Mytilus edulis: one gene and its partner. The protein of the gene in region 1 purifies or fractionates together with the protein of each later gene. This does not show direct contact. Links are inferred from orthologs where the notes say so. Each region holds a gene or a part of one and is shown on either strand. Other genes may lie near its edges.

The links. Proteins that work in one complex are often made in the same cells at the same time.
Region 2: the proteins of exocyst complex component 5-like (region 1) and exocyst complex component 3-like purify together in Homo sapiens (affinity purification with mass spectrometry; 7 studies listed by BioGRID and IntAct, counting the BioPlex papers as one, with this or other methods). This does not show direct contact. The link is inferred for Mytilus edulis from reciprocal best matches to the Homo sapiens genes EXOC5 and EXOC3.

Annotation. Positions count from the first base shown.
Region 1 is NC_092346.1:8,164,515-8,172,910, forward strand, and holds the start of exocyst complex component 5-like, read right to left. Parts: upstream 3,795-8,396; 5' UTR 3,703-3,794; coding exon 3,667-3,702; intron 1,243-3,666; coding exon 1,009-1,242; intron 1-1,008. UniProt on the Homo sapiens protein: Component of the exocyst complex involved in the docking of exocytic vesicles with fusion sites on the plasma membrane.
Region 2 is NC_092355.1:42,989,424-42,997,744, forward strand, and holds the start of exocyst complex component 3-like, read right to left. Parts: upstream 3,757-8,321; 5' UTR 3,640-3,756; exon of another isoform or gene 3,624-3,639; intron 418-3,623; 5' UTR 407-417; coding exon 320-406; intron 1-319. Other genes in the region: glucocorticoid modulatory element-binding protein 1-like, read left to right, coding at 5,879-5,980, 6,831-7,121. UniProt on the Homo sapiens protein: Component of the exocyst complex involved in the docking of exocytic vesicles with fusion sites on the plasma membrane.

The DNA.
Region 1 (8,396 bases):
GCAGTCATACCACATCTTCTTGTATCTAATGGATGACGAGTTGTCTCATTGGCAGTCATACCACATCTTCTTGTATCTAATGGATGAAGAGTTGTCTCATTGGCAGTCATACCACATCTTCTTGTATCTAATGGATGAAGAGTTGTCTCATTGGCAGTCATACCACATCTTCTTGTATCTAATGGATGAAGAGTTGCCTCATTGGCAGTCATACCACATCTTCTTGTATCTAATGGATGAAGAGTTGTCTCATTGGCAGTCATACCACATCTTCTTGTATCTAATGGATGAAGAGTTGTCTCATTGGCAGTCATACCACATCTTCTTGTATCTAATGGATGAAGAGTTGTCTCATTGGCAGTCATACCACATCTTCTTGTATCTAATGGATGAAGAGTTGTCTCATTGGCAGTCATACCACATCTTCTTGTATCTAATGGATGAAGAGTTGTCTCATTGGCAGTCATACCACATCTTCTTGTATCTAATGGATGAAGAGTTGCCTCATTGGCAGTCATACCACATCTTCTTGTATCTAATGGATGAAGAGTTGCCTCATTGGCAGTCATACCACATCTTCTTGTATCTAATGGATGAAGAGTTGTCTCATTGGCAGTCATACCACATCTTCTTGTATCTAATGGATGAAGAGTTGTCTCATTGGCAGTCATACCACATCTTCTTGTATCTAATGGATGAAGAGTTGTCTCATTGGCAGTCATACCACATCTTCTTGTATCTAATGGATGAAGAGTTGTCTCATTGGCAGTCATACCACATCTTCTTGTATCTAATGGATGAAGAGTTGCCTCATTGGCAGTCATACCACATCTTCTTGTATCTAATGGATGAAGAGTTGTCTCATTGGCAGTCATACCACATCTTCTTGTATCTAATGGATGAAGAGTTGTCTCATTGGCAGTCATACCACATCTTCTTGTATCTAATGGATGAAGAGTTGCCTCATTGGCAGTCATACCACATCTTTTTATAGTTATAAATACTAACCTGGTTTTTCTTTTGAAGTTCAGCTACTCTTTGCCAATGACGTTTTTCCTCGTCTTTACAATTTTCTTCTAATTTTTCAATTTTCTTTTCTATTTGTGCATTTTTTCCCTCCAGATCTTTAATCATCTTTTCAAAAGCTGTATGTAGAAGCATTGGGTTGAACTGTGCCTGGTCTCTATTGTGAATTGTTCTCCATGCTATTCTCTCGACAAATTCATGAGCATCAAATGGCTCCTTCAAAAATATTAAACATTCCATTTAGAATTCTTAAGAACATGCTCTTATATTATTAATAATGATAATTATAATGAAAAGAGGATGACTAAATTAGCATTCACTTGTCTACCTTGAGGCCATCACACTAAACACACAGAATAAGTAGCACAAATATTATAACTTCTTGAACATATAATTCAACTTTCATGCTAAATGTTTGTCTGTAGAATAAGAAACATATAATAATACATTATACACAAACATTAAAAAAACATTGGAGAGTTAGAAAGTTCTTCTTTTAAAAGTATTAAGATGTTTATATAGTTTTATTTCATTTAGTAGTTTATTCCAAATTATTGAGAGGTTATAATTACAGTACAAAATGTATATGTGAATGCATGATATTTTTTCATTTCACAGTCAAACCAGCATTAAGTGTTTACTACAGTGACAGAGAGGTTCTAAGTAAGAAGCAGACTAAAAAAATGTCACAATATTATGATTTTTGGTTGTCAGTTTTTAAATTGTGAAGAAATAAGTATCTCTTTTGTTCAAGATGTTTTAGTTCAACCTGCTTGTACATGTTGTAGGAAAACATAATCTTGGTCATTTAGTGCTTGCAATTATGTATATAGTTAGAGGTCCTATTGGGGCCTCGATAGGTCAAGGTTGACCCTACTTTCACATGGAAATCAATCTTCTGAAAGTGAAATCTCTTTGGTTTTGTCTGTTCCTACCGAGCAGCCTAGTGGTTCTCTCCAAATATTTTGGCTTCCTCCAACATAATAAAAGACTGCCTGGTGTCCTATCCCTCTCTTTGTGTTAGGGCGGGGATTGTCCTTGTCAATATTGTTGTAAATACATTAGTGGCATATCTTCTTTAATCCTGATTGGGAGTGTACATGGATTCCACTGTACTCTTGCAGCTCTTGAGGGGTGCTCCGAATAAGAGGGGTCTACGCACATACACAAAAGGTGCCTTTCAAAATATAATATTGAACAACCATTTTGTATGCATATAAAGATTATTAAATGAAAGAATTTTTATATGGAGTTGTAGGTGAAATACCACCTAATCTTGGTACATCACATCCAGTTGCAGACCAAAAAACATTCCCTTGATTTGACAGTTGTAGGAAATTAATGCTACATTTTATTGCAGTAATAAAATATGAGTCATAAACATAATTATACATGAATCTTGGGTGTTTCAAAGCACCATTCTTTTTTCATTTGGTGCTTCTATAAATATTTTGGAAACTTGGTAAAATCAAACATGGTACATGTAAGTAAGTACATGTACATGTAGCTTGTAAACAAGACAGAAAGGGTGAAAATTTGATTGTTTAACTTCCAAAGATGGTTATTATCTTATTTATGCAATGAAATGTTGTAGCATTGGACAGAATAAAAATTTACTCATGCCAAGTATTTCTTTATTTGAAACAAAGATAAATTATGCACTCTTAAAGTCTATATTGAAAAGTGCAAACTTAACACAAACAGAGACAAAGGGGAAAGAATATGTGGGTTAGTGGTCTAGTGTTGAAGACTGATGACTACAGTGCTGAAAGTCCCAGGGACGATTCTGACTCTGGGCGCTGGAAATTTCAGTACATCACAAGGATGATTTTTACCCTCCCACACTTCTCAGATCGTAATAAAAACTAGAATGGGTATTTTTGGGGCTCCCTTCTCTGACCTGGAGATCAATCTTCTCAAGTTCTGATATCTCTCTGCTTTGTCTGTTTCCGCCAAGTAGCCTGGTGGTCCTCTCCGAGACATTCTGCTACCTCTACCATAACAACAATTACAGACTTCCCGATGTCCTAGCACTCCCTTTGTCATGTTTTTGTTGGGATGGGGATTGTCCTTTTAAAACAATAACATGTCATAAATATAACATCCCTATTAATCCCAATAGAGAGTGTACATGAATTCCACCCACAGCTCTCAATGCCAATGGGTTATTCGGATAACGGAGGAATTTACAGGTACTTTCATACAAGACATAACACATTAGGGTATCACATCTGTAAGCTTTCCTATGAGATTTATCTATAAAACATTACAACAGCGATGCAAAAGGTGTCTGAAATTGACTAATTTACCAGAAGGTATATCATGTCAGTGAAGAGAGAAAATTTCTATGAATAATTTGCAGCCTTCAGTTGTCACGCCCAGTCTGTCAATAACTCATTGTCTGTTAGCTGGCTATAATTCTGGACATATGAAGCAGCTGTTGTGTTATAGACAGACTAGATCAGTATCGGCTTAAAGTGTCAATCTTCAAAAGAGGAAGTTAGTTTGGAAAGATGAAGCAGACGATTAAAATATTTTGCTCCAACATCACTTTTGAATCGTGTCAGAGGCTCACATTTTCGTCCTATTTAAAATCACGAGTCTAAATATCACAAATTATACTTATGCTTTTCTTGATACCTGTTCGAGTTCTTCTAAGGACACTTGATGAGACATATCGATGTACTTTTTCCAACTTTTTCAGTGCCCAAGGGAAATAACTCTAATCAGATATAATAAATTTAGGACGCATATATCGGACTGAAGACGAAGTATTTCCGGATTTTTATATTCCTCAAAACTTTATTATTAAAATTGTTGACATGTGAGTAAAAAAAAAAAGATATGTCTACTAATACCTTATTATTCCACGACTGAATGACTACTATAACTGTTACACATACTGTTTGTCCGCCCTCGTCGTCGTCGTATGTTAACTTTTACAAAAATCTTCTCCTCTAAAAGTTTAACTACTGGTCCAAATTTAACCAAACTTGGCCACAATCATCAACGATCTTATTCTCATGAAATGCTGAGCAAAACAATCAAACTAGACTTGCAATAAGTTTCCACATTGGTTCTGATGAAAGTCTTACTTTTTCAAAAATTTATTTGGGTATTTTTAAAGTAAATCAAGTCATCCGGGGCTCCTGGAAGCCTCTAGTTATTTCTTCAACGGTTTAATACATCTATGATGTCTGCCATGTCATTAATCATTTTTTTTTAAACAGATATTTACCAAATGTTGTGTGCAATTTCTTTTACACTAATTTCTATTTTATAAAAAAATGTGTGGACACAGATCAATGTGGATAGTAATTGCTAATTTTTTGTTGGTGTTATGATCATCGAGTTTATGAATTAGTTGTCCCCCTCCAGATATTGTATGCACTACATGTGTATTTCTTTGTCTTATCATAGGGTTCTTTGTTAAACTGCATTGAACTCAGGTAGTTTGCCTTATCAGCTGCAATTCTTATTAAAAGTTGGAACTATATATCGATATATATAAAATTAATTGTCACTTTTCAGGACATCTTATATAATTTCCCCAATTATCTTTTTACATATAGAATAATGTTTAGTGTCAACCACGTTTGATAGCTATTAGAATCATCTTCTACAAAATGCAAAGGAGATTTATGAATCATTTACTCAAAATGTCCCAGGCTCTGCTTTTGTGGGTGTAGCAACATTTGTTAATCAGCATGAACATTTTTCCAAATTTTCAAACATGACACACAAAGGATTGTGTGGGATAGATGAGTTTCAAGTGGTTACAGAAATCAAGCATGTTTTATTGGTTTTTTTTCAAGTTTACCTCAAATAAGTATAGGATGAAATATTTTGTCCTGCATTATTTAAGTTGTAATCTCCGTCCTTCTTTTGTATTTTTCACTTTATTTGGTCCTGTGTTTTTTTATTAGTTTACCAGTATCGATCCTGACTTTTTTTACTTAAATTGCTATCCTGACTTTTTTTTTACATAAATTGCTATCCTGACTTTTTTTTTACATAAATTGCTATCCTGAGTTTTTTTTTGCACAGTTGCTCATCCTGTCCTTGCTTACTCAAACCTCCTGTCCTGCATTTTTCAGTATCATCCTGCCCTCCCCTTAAATCAAATGGTAGCTCCCTTACTATTCACTGGGACGTTTCAATAATGCAAAACATGTACAATTAACCATGCTATCAGAATCTTGATAAGGTCAGAGCTGAAGTTAAAATTTCCAAATGCAAAGAAACCAAACTCAAAACAACTAAAGACATAAGAATACCCAATCCACATTATTTTATAGCAATACCCCAGTTCTAGTCAATGATATTAAAACAATATAGGAAAGTAAAATTGACCAAGTTCAATAGAGCATATGGGAACTTAAATAATAAAATGAGAATGCACAAACGTAAATGGCTGTCCCTGCTTTACTGATCATGGATGAAGATTTAACTACTAGTATCAGTAACATTTAATTCTATGGATGATTCAGGTTAATGAGGTCAAATTCAGAAGAACCTTGCCAGCAAACATGTTAATTTTAAACTTCACAATTTTTAATTACACCAAATTGCTTATTATACCTGAGATCCAGACACAACCACTAAAACTGAACATTCACCAACAAATACTGCAAAATGGAACCAGTTTGTATGAACCTTACCAGGTCTTACCAATCAGGTTAGGAATCTGGTGTACAGTAGTTGTCATTTGTTATTTGTGTTTCTCTTTTTTATATAGATTAGACCCGTTTGAATGGTTTTACACTAGTTATTTTGGGGCCCTTTGTAGCTTGTTGTTCTGTGTGAGCCAAAGCTCTGCGTTGAAGGCTGTACCTTGACCTATTATGGTTTACTTTTATACATTGTTATTTGGATGGAGAGTTGTCTCATAGGCACTCATACCAAATCTTCCTATATCTATGGATATCTGTCCATATGCCACATAAAGTTGACCTATTTAACCTATTGCTTTAAGTATCTGAGATATGGACTTTACTTTTATATCTAACCTTGAATACTGTTCTTTAAAATGAGGCCAAGTTCAGGTTAACACTGTCTGACAGACATTTAGTCTTTGCAAAGGCATCCTCATACCAAACAAAGTTATCAAGTAAGAAATTCATGTGATAAAGAAAACTAAAGTTTTTTTCATTTCAGTCACTTAATAATAAAAATTTGTAAGGGTTCCGCGGAACCCAGTGTCTCGCCTATTTTTTGCTGTAAATCGCAGGCTCAACAACAATGAGGAAAAAAATCAATAAAAATATTCCTCTTCTTACTATTTTATGATTGTAAGAAAATCTAAGTCCATTTAAAAGTAAATTACAGAAAAATTTAAGTAATTTTTTACAAACTTTTAAATACTTCTGGATACAATCTTATGATCATAAATAAGCTTCTGCTCATGTTTGGTACAAACCCAGGATAGTTTAAGAAAGTTATTAAAATTTTAAAAACTTTAACCACAGAGTGAATGTAATGGTTCCCCGCAGAAAAACTAAGTCCATTTAAAACTAAAATATGGAAAAATGGATTTATTTATTTACAAAATTTACTTCTGGATACTATCTTATGATCATAAACAAGCTGCTATTTAAGTTTGGTACAAACCCAAGATAGTTTCAGAAAGTTATTAAAATTCTAAAAACTTTAACCACAGAGTGAATGTTTTGTTTCCCCGCAGAAAAAACTAAGTCCATTTATAGTAAAATACGGAAAAAATGGAATTTCATTTTTACAAAATTTACTTCTGGATACTATCTTATGATCATAAAAAAGCTTCTGTCCAAGTTTGGTACAAACCCAGGATAGTTTAAGAAAGTTATTAAAATTCTAAAAACTTTAACCACAGAGTGAATGTTTTGTTTCCCCGCAGAAAAAAACTAAGTCCATTTATAGTAAAATACGGAAAAAATGGAATTTTATTTTTACAAAATTTACTTCTGGATACTATCTTATGATCATAAACAAGCTTCTGTCCAAGTTTGGTACAAACCCAGGATAGTTTAAGAAAGTTATTAAAATTCTAAAAACTTTAACCACAGAGTGAATGTTTTGTTTCCCCGCAGAAAAAACTAAGTCCATTTATAGTAAAATACGGAAAAAATGGAATTTTATTTTTACAAAATTTACTTCTGAATACTATCTTATGATCATAAACAAGCTTCTGTCAAAGTTTAGTAGAAATCCAGTATAGTTTAAGAAAGTTATTAAAATTTCAAAAACTTTAACCACAGAGTGAATATTTGTTGACGCTGACAACGACGGAATGTAGGATCGCTTAGTCTCGCTTTTTCGACTTAAGTCGAAGGCTCGACAAAAATGAGATCAAAGGCAACAGACATATAGCAAACAAAAACTTCATAATATAGGACACTTGTATACAAGATATAAAGTATCTAGGTCTATTTCATTCTGAAATAGAACACTTTATACTATAAATACTTTATCTAGTACATGTAGTCACATGTTTGAATACCCTTTTGTGGGCTTGGGCTGTTTTCTGCTCTGGTCCGGTTGTTGTCTCTTTAATAACAGTTAGGGCCATGTTTACCTGCCTTAAATCAAACACAAACCTTCATATTTAGGTATGGAATATTGTGATACAACTTCATTGAGATCCATTCACTGACATACAAGTTATTGTCTGGATACCAAATGTCTTTGGATGAAGACGACAATGTCATACCATAGTCTATTTTTTCTGCAACTTCAATATGACCTAGATGAAGGACTAAGAAGTTGTTTTACAGTTTCTTTTATTACATATTCTGACATCAGACTGATTTTTTTAAGCTGATGTGCATTTTGGTGTGTGTTTGTTTTTTCTAGATTGGCTACAGCTATTGGCGAAGGGTTGAGATCTCACTAAACAGGTTTAACCCAGTCACAATTTTGCATGTCCCAAGCCAGGAGACTCTGGCGTTTGTTAGTCTTGTATGATTTTTAATCTAAATTCATTTATATGTTAAGCATGACATCCTTTTTCTCTAGTACACATTTCAGTTTTAGTGGCCAGCTGAAGTCCACCTAGAAAGAGATTTTCTCGTCATGTTTGAAGACCCTTTCGTGGGGTTGGGCAGTTTTCTGCTCTAGTTGGGTTGTTGTCTCTTTGACATGTTCCCATTTCCATTCTCAATTTTAATTACTACCGGTAGTTATACATAGTATAAAAAAGAAGATGTGGTATGATTGCCAATGAGACAACTATCCACAAAAGACAAAAATGACACAGACATTAACAACTATAGGTCATAGCATTGTTTTTAGCCCCAATTCCTAAACAGTTATGACCATGCTAACCCCTAAAATCAATCACAGATCTTCCTTTTTAGGTATGGAACCTTGTGGTACAATTTCATTCAGATCCA
Region 2 (8,321 bases), on another chromosome or scaffold:
TTCCCTAATGACAGCAGAGCTGATTGTCAATTATGAGAAATCATTTTGCCGAATAATTCAATAAACCAATATAGCATCATATGTTTCCAACCACTCGCTCAACATGGGAACGGAAGTGATGATGCCCCTAAACGCATGAATGATGTTCACTAAAACCAAAGTTTTTGACGGAAATGCATCAAATTTGAAAAGTTGTCCTTTGTACAATGTGTAAGAAAGGTAGATATATGTAAGAATACATAACAGATGCATGTAAAAATATAAGTGTTGTTGCATGTAAAAATATAAGTGTTGTTTCAGCCCAATGTTAAGCACAAACCTGAAGCAGATTAGATATATGTTTAGAGGCATTTTCTTTAGCCTCTGCTTCCATTCGTCCCAGATCTAATGGCGCTGGTAAACTCATTTTGAAGAGACCTGAAAATAGAATTTATATATATTAAATTATCAATAAGTGTTTTTCGTTTTTTATATAGACATGATAGATTAGGTCTTTGTTTTTTCCTGTTTGAATAGTTTTACACTAGACAATTTTGGGACCCTTCATAGCTTGCTGTTTGGAAAGAGCCAATGCTCCGTGTTGAAGAGCCTACTTTGACTTGTGATGATTTTTCTTTTACTAATTGTGACTTGGATGGAGAGTTGTTTCATTGGAACTCCTTCCATATCTTCTTATAATATGTATATAGACCAAATTGAAAATAAATTTGAAAGATTTTTAAAAATAAAAAGATGTGGTATTGATTGCAAATGTAACAATTCTCTACCAAAGTTGATTTATGTATATGTATACATTGTACATTTGTTGTATATGTTTAAGTAAATACATATCTATTCATACATATACATGTACATGTTAAATAGTTATATAGGTTCTAAAAATAGCAACTACAATCATTCAATCTATAGAGGTTCTGACGTGTAGTTACATTTCAATGATTTGTACTGAATTAAAATTACATAACAACATATGTTTGTATTATATCTAATTTATGCATTTGTTGTAACTACTGATAACATGAGAATTACTTCAAGTGAGGGAAAAGATTTTATAAATAGGTTGTACTATCAGAATCATTGAATTAAATACATACAAGGCTTGAAGCTGCATGATATTTTTACAGCCATCATGGACTCATGGTTATTTGAAGTTGACCCTGTGGTTTAATTACTATGAAATACTTATTCTTGTTTTTAACCTGACAACAACAAATTTTAATAAAACAAATCATATGACAAGTATCTCCAGGTCTTTGATCTTGCTGACTTATAATTTCCTTTCTCAGTGAAGTGATAAATTATCGCTAGAAACTAAGGGGGCACATGGCGTTGCTATAATATAAACAGAATATCATTGGTCATCTAAACTCAATTGCTTTTCTCACTTTCGCTGTACCGGCTCAAGGGAGAAAATCAATCTCATTGAGATGATCCAAGATAATGTTATAATGTAATATACAAATTTTTTTTTAGATGAGAATCAAATTAAAGAGGCATTACAAACAAGTGACAAAAACAGAAACAATATATATAAACATTTTAAGTTCTTAGCATTAATGATCCTAAATAAAATAGATTATCTATTTATATATATCGCATGGATTATCATTAATTCAAATAAATGTATTCATCATACATATAACACTTAATTTTAGTTTTAAGCTACATGTACATGTATTTATGAAGACCTGAAATATGTTTTATCTTATTTCAGGTGCAACAGTAGAAGTAGCAAACGATAAAGATAAATCCAGTTTTCTGAATGGATATATATATATATAGATTCTTACATTGATACGAGTGGATTATCGGATTTATCCAATCGAGATAGTTAAATTATCAATTTTATAATTCATAATTTAACTATCAAGATTGGATAAATCCGATAATCCATGAGTAACTATGTAAGAATCTGTTTCTCTATATAGCTAATGATTAAAAAATAAATTTTCTTTTTTTGTTAAACGAAAATCCCCTTTGAGTGCCTTTCACATTCCATGAAGTTGTCAATTTCATTAACACCAGTTAGCATATTTTGATTTATCCAGTTAGCTAAAGAGGATATGACCCTTAGAATCATCCAATGATCTTTTGAGATCACCAGAAACCACATGTTGATTAAATTGTTTTATACAATGGGTTCGGAAACGGATAAATTTCTATAGAATATTAGAGAAATAATTATCAAATGCATCTTGTTTTAGACATATGGAATTGTATTCTATTACTTTAACATTGTTTAAATTGTGTTTACACGTTTATATTATTCTGAATACTAATGATCCAGGGACTAATTATGTTTCTAAACTTATCAGAACCAACATCTGTGTTGTCTAGGATGACCAGGTCATTTCAGGTGATGACCTTGTACTGAATCTAGGATAATGACATAAAAATCACTTGTTTAAGTATCAGACCTCAATTTCCCCAAAAATCACTTCTTTATAATGTATCATTCTGTTAACAACCCCCCACTAATTTCAACACCCCCCGAACAGTGAAATTTTTATCGTCGAACAGTAGAATTTTATTACATAATCTGAAAGATGAAACCTTGAACTTCACAGGAAAAATACTCCCACTGCTGTGAAAAATCTTTTAAGAAAGTATCAGTTCATTATGGAAAGCCATTATTATAGCATTTTTTCAACTAAAATAGAATTTTCAGTTAAATGATAGCATCAAAGGCATAAACCTTGCTACTTTTTAAGTACCAAAAAATTCATATTCTTTAATTTTACTAATTGAAAGATATTATTTAAACCTATTTGTTTAAAATTTTGAAAAAACTACAAAATCCCAATTTGTGACAAAACATTGAATTTGCTACTCAAATAAGTGATTTAAAAATCACTTATTTCAGTAAGTCCCCAGACTGTGTTATCCAAAAAGGGATGAATCCTGAGACGTTTTTTCCTTATATTGATTATCGATTTTTAACATAAATTATGATGCCCATAAAAATCTAAAAATTGATTAAAATATACATGTACGTACATTGTAATTTAAATTATTTATCGTTTTATTGTATAATCATGATAATATCAGTTTTTCTTAGTGGTTGGTGGTTTTTGGGGTGTTCGGCGGTGTTCTGTGGTGTTTGGTGGTGAAAAGACCGGCCCACCCGCCAAATTCATGGTTTGTCTTAGTCAAAATAATTATGACATCTGGCAAGGCTATTTTATTTTTTGGCGTCCCAGAAAGCAACCCCCCCCCCCCCCAAAAAAAAAGATCATTGCCAGACAACTTAGACATCATAATTATTTGGACTAGGTTTGTCATTGACAATGCTTTGTGTCATAAATTATTTAGACTTTACTTTCGAACAAACTGTAAACATGTTAAACTTGTGGTGTAAAAACAATGAAAAAAGTACATTTTTGTCAAAAGGTCCTCACAAATATTAAACAATAAAAAAACATGATGCAGTAGAGCTTGTTCATTAAAAAAAAACTGGGTTTTGCCCCCAAAAAACATGACAACACGACTGCTACCTGGTGTTTGTGCCCGTTGTAGAAATAAATTTTGGCGTTAACCAATGACTCTACGGCAACGCTTTCCCTTTGGCTTTAAAGTGACTAAAGTATTTTGTATACGATAATTACTACGGTCAATAAACAATAGAAATATTCAATTTACCACTATCTATGCCTTTTCTTTCAATAGATTAATATAAACGTGAAAACTTTCAAGTGGGCATTTGTTTACATCATGAACTTCCCACTTCCGTTTTCCGTCAGTGTCGCGTAAAATCTCGCACACTACGAGAGTCCACGTGAATTACGTGTGCACCAAGTAACGTACGTTGACGTCATAGGAAAAGCGTGCCATTACATTCCAAAGGTAATTGTTGAAGTTGTTATTAGCTAGTTTGGATAGAGAAGTATCATTTTAAGAGGGAACGAACTTATTTTGTTTACATTTTGTGGTAAGAAATCCTCTCGGGTAGACGTTCACAGGTTTGTTGAACGAGGAAGAAAATATTGAACATCATGGCGGTTCCACCTTTATGTGGGAGTGAAACGTGAGGCGATCCGCTGCCAGTTTTGCGTGAAACGTCATTTTATTTGCAATTTTCAAAAACTCTGTAATTTTAATGACTTTTTATCGGTCTCCAGATATGTGTTACCCATGTACAATGTAAATAAAAAAATACATAGTAAATAAAAATATACATAGTAATCATTTCATGACAATGTCATTCTATTTGTGTTATATGACAATGTATTGACTTGATATTTCATAAACTACAAATCATTATGATTATGTTGTTTATTTTATTTAATAATATAACTGTTATAAACTTCATTGTTTAATCATTATCAAAAGTTTGTACAATATAAAAAATATTGCACTACATGTATGTGTTATAGCCAGTGGTCAAGTTACATTTGTAATATCAACTATAGTTGAAAAATAAACTGGAGTACCAATTTAATTCCTTTTCATCATAATTTTTTTTTTTCAATGATATTCAGGCCAAAAAATATACGCTTAATTCCTGCCGCCTGGCAATATTCAATTCAATATTTTATTGGAAAGAGCACAATAGACAATATTGACAAAATAACGTTTTTTTTGGTTTTTTTTATACACATGTATTTACCAGGTGATTTTTTTTTTCAACAATAAATTTGTGCTGGCTGCCAATCTGGCTGAAAAATATATAAGCACAGTTAACACACACACATATATATAAATAACGTGACGGTACCCAAATTGCACCTATTTTGACAGTTTTTTCAACTAAGTTTTTTTATGATCAAAACAAAAATTTCCATTTTGTGTTTATTTTGTAGCCGTATCCTTCTTTATTATAAAGGTACACCAATTTGATTTTCAATCCATAAGGAATCATAGAAAAATTGGTCTGAACTTACCTCCAAACCATCCCAGATTCTGTAATGAGGAGTACCCAAATTGCATCCATGCTTAAATTCGCATCGTAAAAAGTCGAATAACAGAGCTTTTGTTTATTTTTTTCAAATATTTTGAACAATTGGATATTTGTTCATGCTTACTCTTCATTTTTTAAGAAATGGATACTTGAAACGTATTGTATTTGTTAATTTTAAAAAGATGACGTTTTGATGACGTCGCATGGCGACGTTTCAGTACATTTTGCTTTTTCAGTAAACACTTCATCTGTTGATAAATATTGTGAACGTTTTGTGTATATCTAAATATTTTTACCTATGTTGAAAGACGTGCATAGTATCAAATCATAAAAATACCATTTTTTTAGTCTCTAGGAAATCTTGTTAGATTTTTGCTGCTACTTTTGATAAATAGGTGCAATTTGGGTACCGTAACGTTATATATACTACATTAAGCTAAATTAATTAAAATTATTTCTTCAAAACAAAATGTAAACATTGATCTATGGGGAAATTATCAATTTGTTTAACAAGAAAAAAAACCATTCACTTTACATTGACTTTTTATGTTTATTTGAACATTAATCAAGTTAACAGTGCTTCACAAAAAAAAAATCAATGTAGAGTAGGTAGGGATGTATGTAAAAAAAAATGCCTTAATCTGTTAATGTAGGTCTACCAAGGATTTGTATAGTAAGTTACTATACAAATCCTTGGGTCTACTAAGAAAATTTTGAAAACCATAAAGTGAAAATATGTTACCTTGCTTGTGTTTAGCAAATATTTTTTCTGAGAATAATTTAAGATTTTTCAAAACTTTGTGGTTCTCTTAATAAGGTTTAAAAGTAATGCTATTTAAAGACAGTGAATACATGTATATCAAAAATTCATTTTAATTTGTTTGATCTGAAATTATGGTGGTTATATTACCATGATTACAATCAATGTAATGAGTTATAAGTTCTTGCATAATCATGTATATGTTTGATATTTTTATCTAGATGGAAGACAGTGATACTAATGATTCTAAAACTTTAGATCAAGATGATTTTGAAAGTAATGGAAATGCTGGCATTGAAGGACCAGACTCACCTGGATCATTGGTAGGTACTGACTACAGATCATATTGATGTCACTTGAGCATACATGTAGATACATTGTATATGCAGGAAAAAACTAAATTATTTGTACAACACTTTATAGGACAGTCAGGGGTACTATTTCAAGTACTTGTACAAGTAATTTTTATTTACTTGAAGAAGTAAATAGAATAAACTCATATAACATGTATAAGTGAATTATAATGTTTGAATAATCTTCCTTTAATTTTCTCAAAAAAATACTTGTATATTTTATCAAATTACCTCTACTATAATTATTGTAATATGATTCAAATCGAAAGAGATATATCAAAGTCTATGCGGTATGAGCTTTGCTCATTGTTGAAGGTCGTACAGTTACCTATAGTTGTTAATTCCTATTTCATTTGGTCCCTTACAGAGAGTTGTCTCATTGGCAATCATACCACATCTTCTCTTTTATATGATATGGGAAACAATGCATGTATGCCTGTCACCATGCTTACATGTATATTCTCTGTCTCGAATATCTGGATATATATTGTATTGTTCATTGGTTTAATCTTTTTTAATTGACATACCATATTTTAATATTTTTATATTCAGAAAGTTTCTTTTCTTATCAAAGCCAATGCAATGTTATTGCCCTGCTGTAAGCAATAATTTCATAGATACCAGGATTAATATTTTGTATGCTTGTCATGTGAATTGTTAACTGAACATAAGACTCATCAATAAGACTCAAGTATGAAAAAAAAAGTTTAAATTTCAAATAGAGATCAAAGTTACAGAGCATTTATGAAATCGAGGACACAAATTTTGAAAGATTTTGCCAAAAAACGCAAGTAATCATAAATACGCCTTTTTCTTACAGTGCCCAGAATATGAAACGGACGAAGGACACCCAGGAGAAAGTGATTTAATTCACAATACTCCAATGACAACACATATAAAACAAGAAGTTATTGATGATGACCTTCAGTATGAAACTACAGAATATGATCCCATGGAAGACATGTCTCATGAAGGTTTCCTCTCCCACGAAGATCAGAAACTAAAATTGGACTATCGTCATGAAGCCTTACTCTCAAAATCTTCTAAAAGAATATCTCCAACAGCAAACAATAAAACACGGAGAAGGCCAAGGAAAGATAAACTTCTTGATGTAAGTTGTTCCTATCAGCAAGATAAGATATTTTGGTATTTCTTTTGATTTTATTTTGCCACAAGAAGCTGTGAAAGTTCTAAAGAATGCTCTTTGCTCATGTTGATTGGTTAAAAACTGTCTTGGGCTAAATAAAAAAGTATGTGTGGTTCCAGTTACATCTGAAAAAAAGTTAGGGTAGGTAGGTAGGGATTTTTTTTTTATTTTATGTTTTTTTTTTTACATTGAGTCTATGGGAGCAACATTCTGACTTTAACAGTACTTAATGAAAAATGACAATAAAATCTTTAGGGTAGGCTATTTTTAAGCCGAAAAAGTAGGGACGGTAGGGTTACTAGAACCACACATATATTTTTATTTGGCCTTGCCTTTATTTTACTTTCTATTGCTATGCATATTTTGTAACAGTCAGAGCTCAGACATAGATAAGTCTGAATCTGCTTTTGACTTGTAGAGGTCTTAATTTGTAGATTCAACGATTTGTCTCCCTTTAATTTAAGACAATTTATGACTTCAATAAGTCCATTAGTGTTTAGAAAGAAATATTTTACCTTAATTAAAAAGTTGCAAAAATTGACTCCTACAAGTCGATAAGTTAGCAAAATTGGTCAACTTCAAGACCCATGCATATTTATATAGAGGTCATGCATCTTCTTCTTCTTCTTCTGATATACAGTTACAGCTTCATTATTATTGAAGATTACGAACTGTTGCATGCGCGGAGTATATGATTAAAAAATATGAACAAAAATTTATCTTTAACTTAGTAGAATACTTGGTGATATTTACATGAAAGAAAACAACAAGTGATTAAAAAATATGTACATTGTTATTTATAGAATTAAATTATGTTGTGGAGAACAGTTGGTGTCAACTGATCTCTGTAAATTTCAATGGTTTGACTTGCTACCACAACTTGTGGCAACATGTTCCATTGAATGATTGTTTGCGGAAAGAATGACCATTTGTAGCTGTCTTTAGAGGTGGATATTTGCCGAAATGTTTGAGTATGTAATTTTCTTGTTCTAGTATCTGATGGTATGAGGACTAGTGATGGGATTGCAATGAGTCCATGAATGACCTTGTAGAACATGATAAGTCTGGTTTTGAGGCGGCGCTCACTGAGTGAGGGCCATTGTAGTTCGTTTAACATGGATGTAACGCTACTGGTGTTGTGGTAATTGTTACATACATATCGGG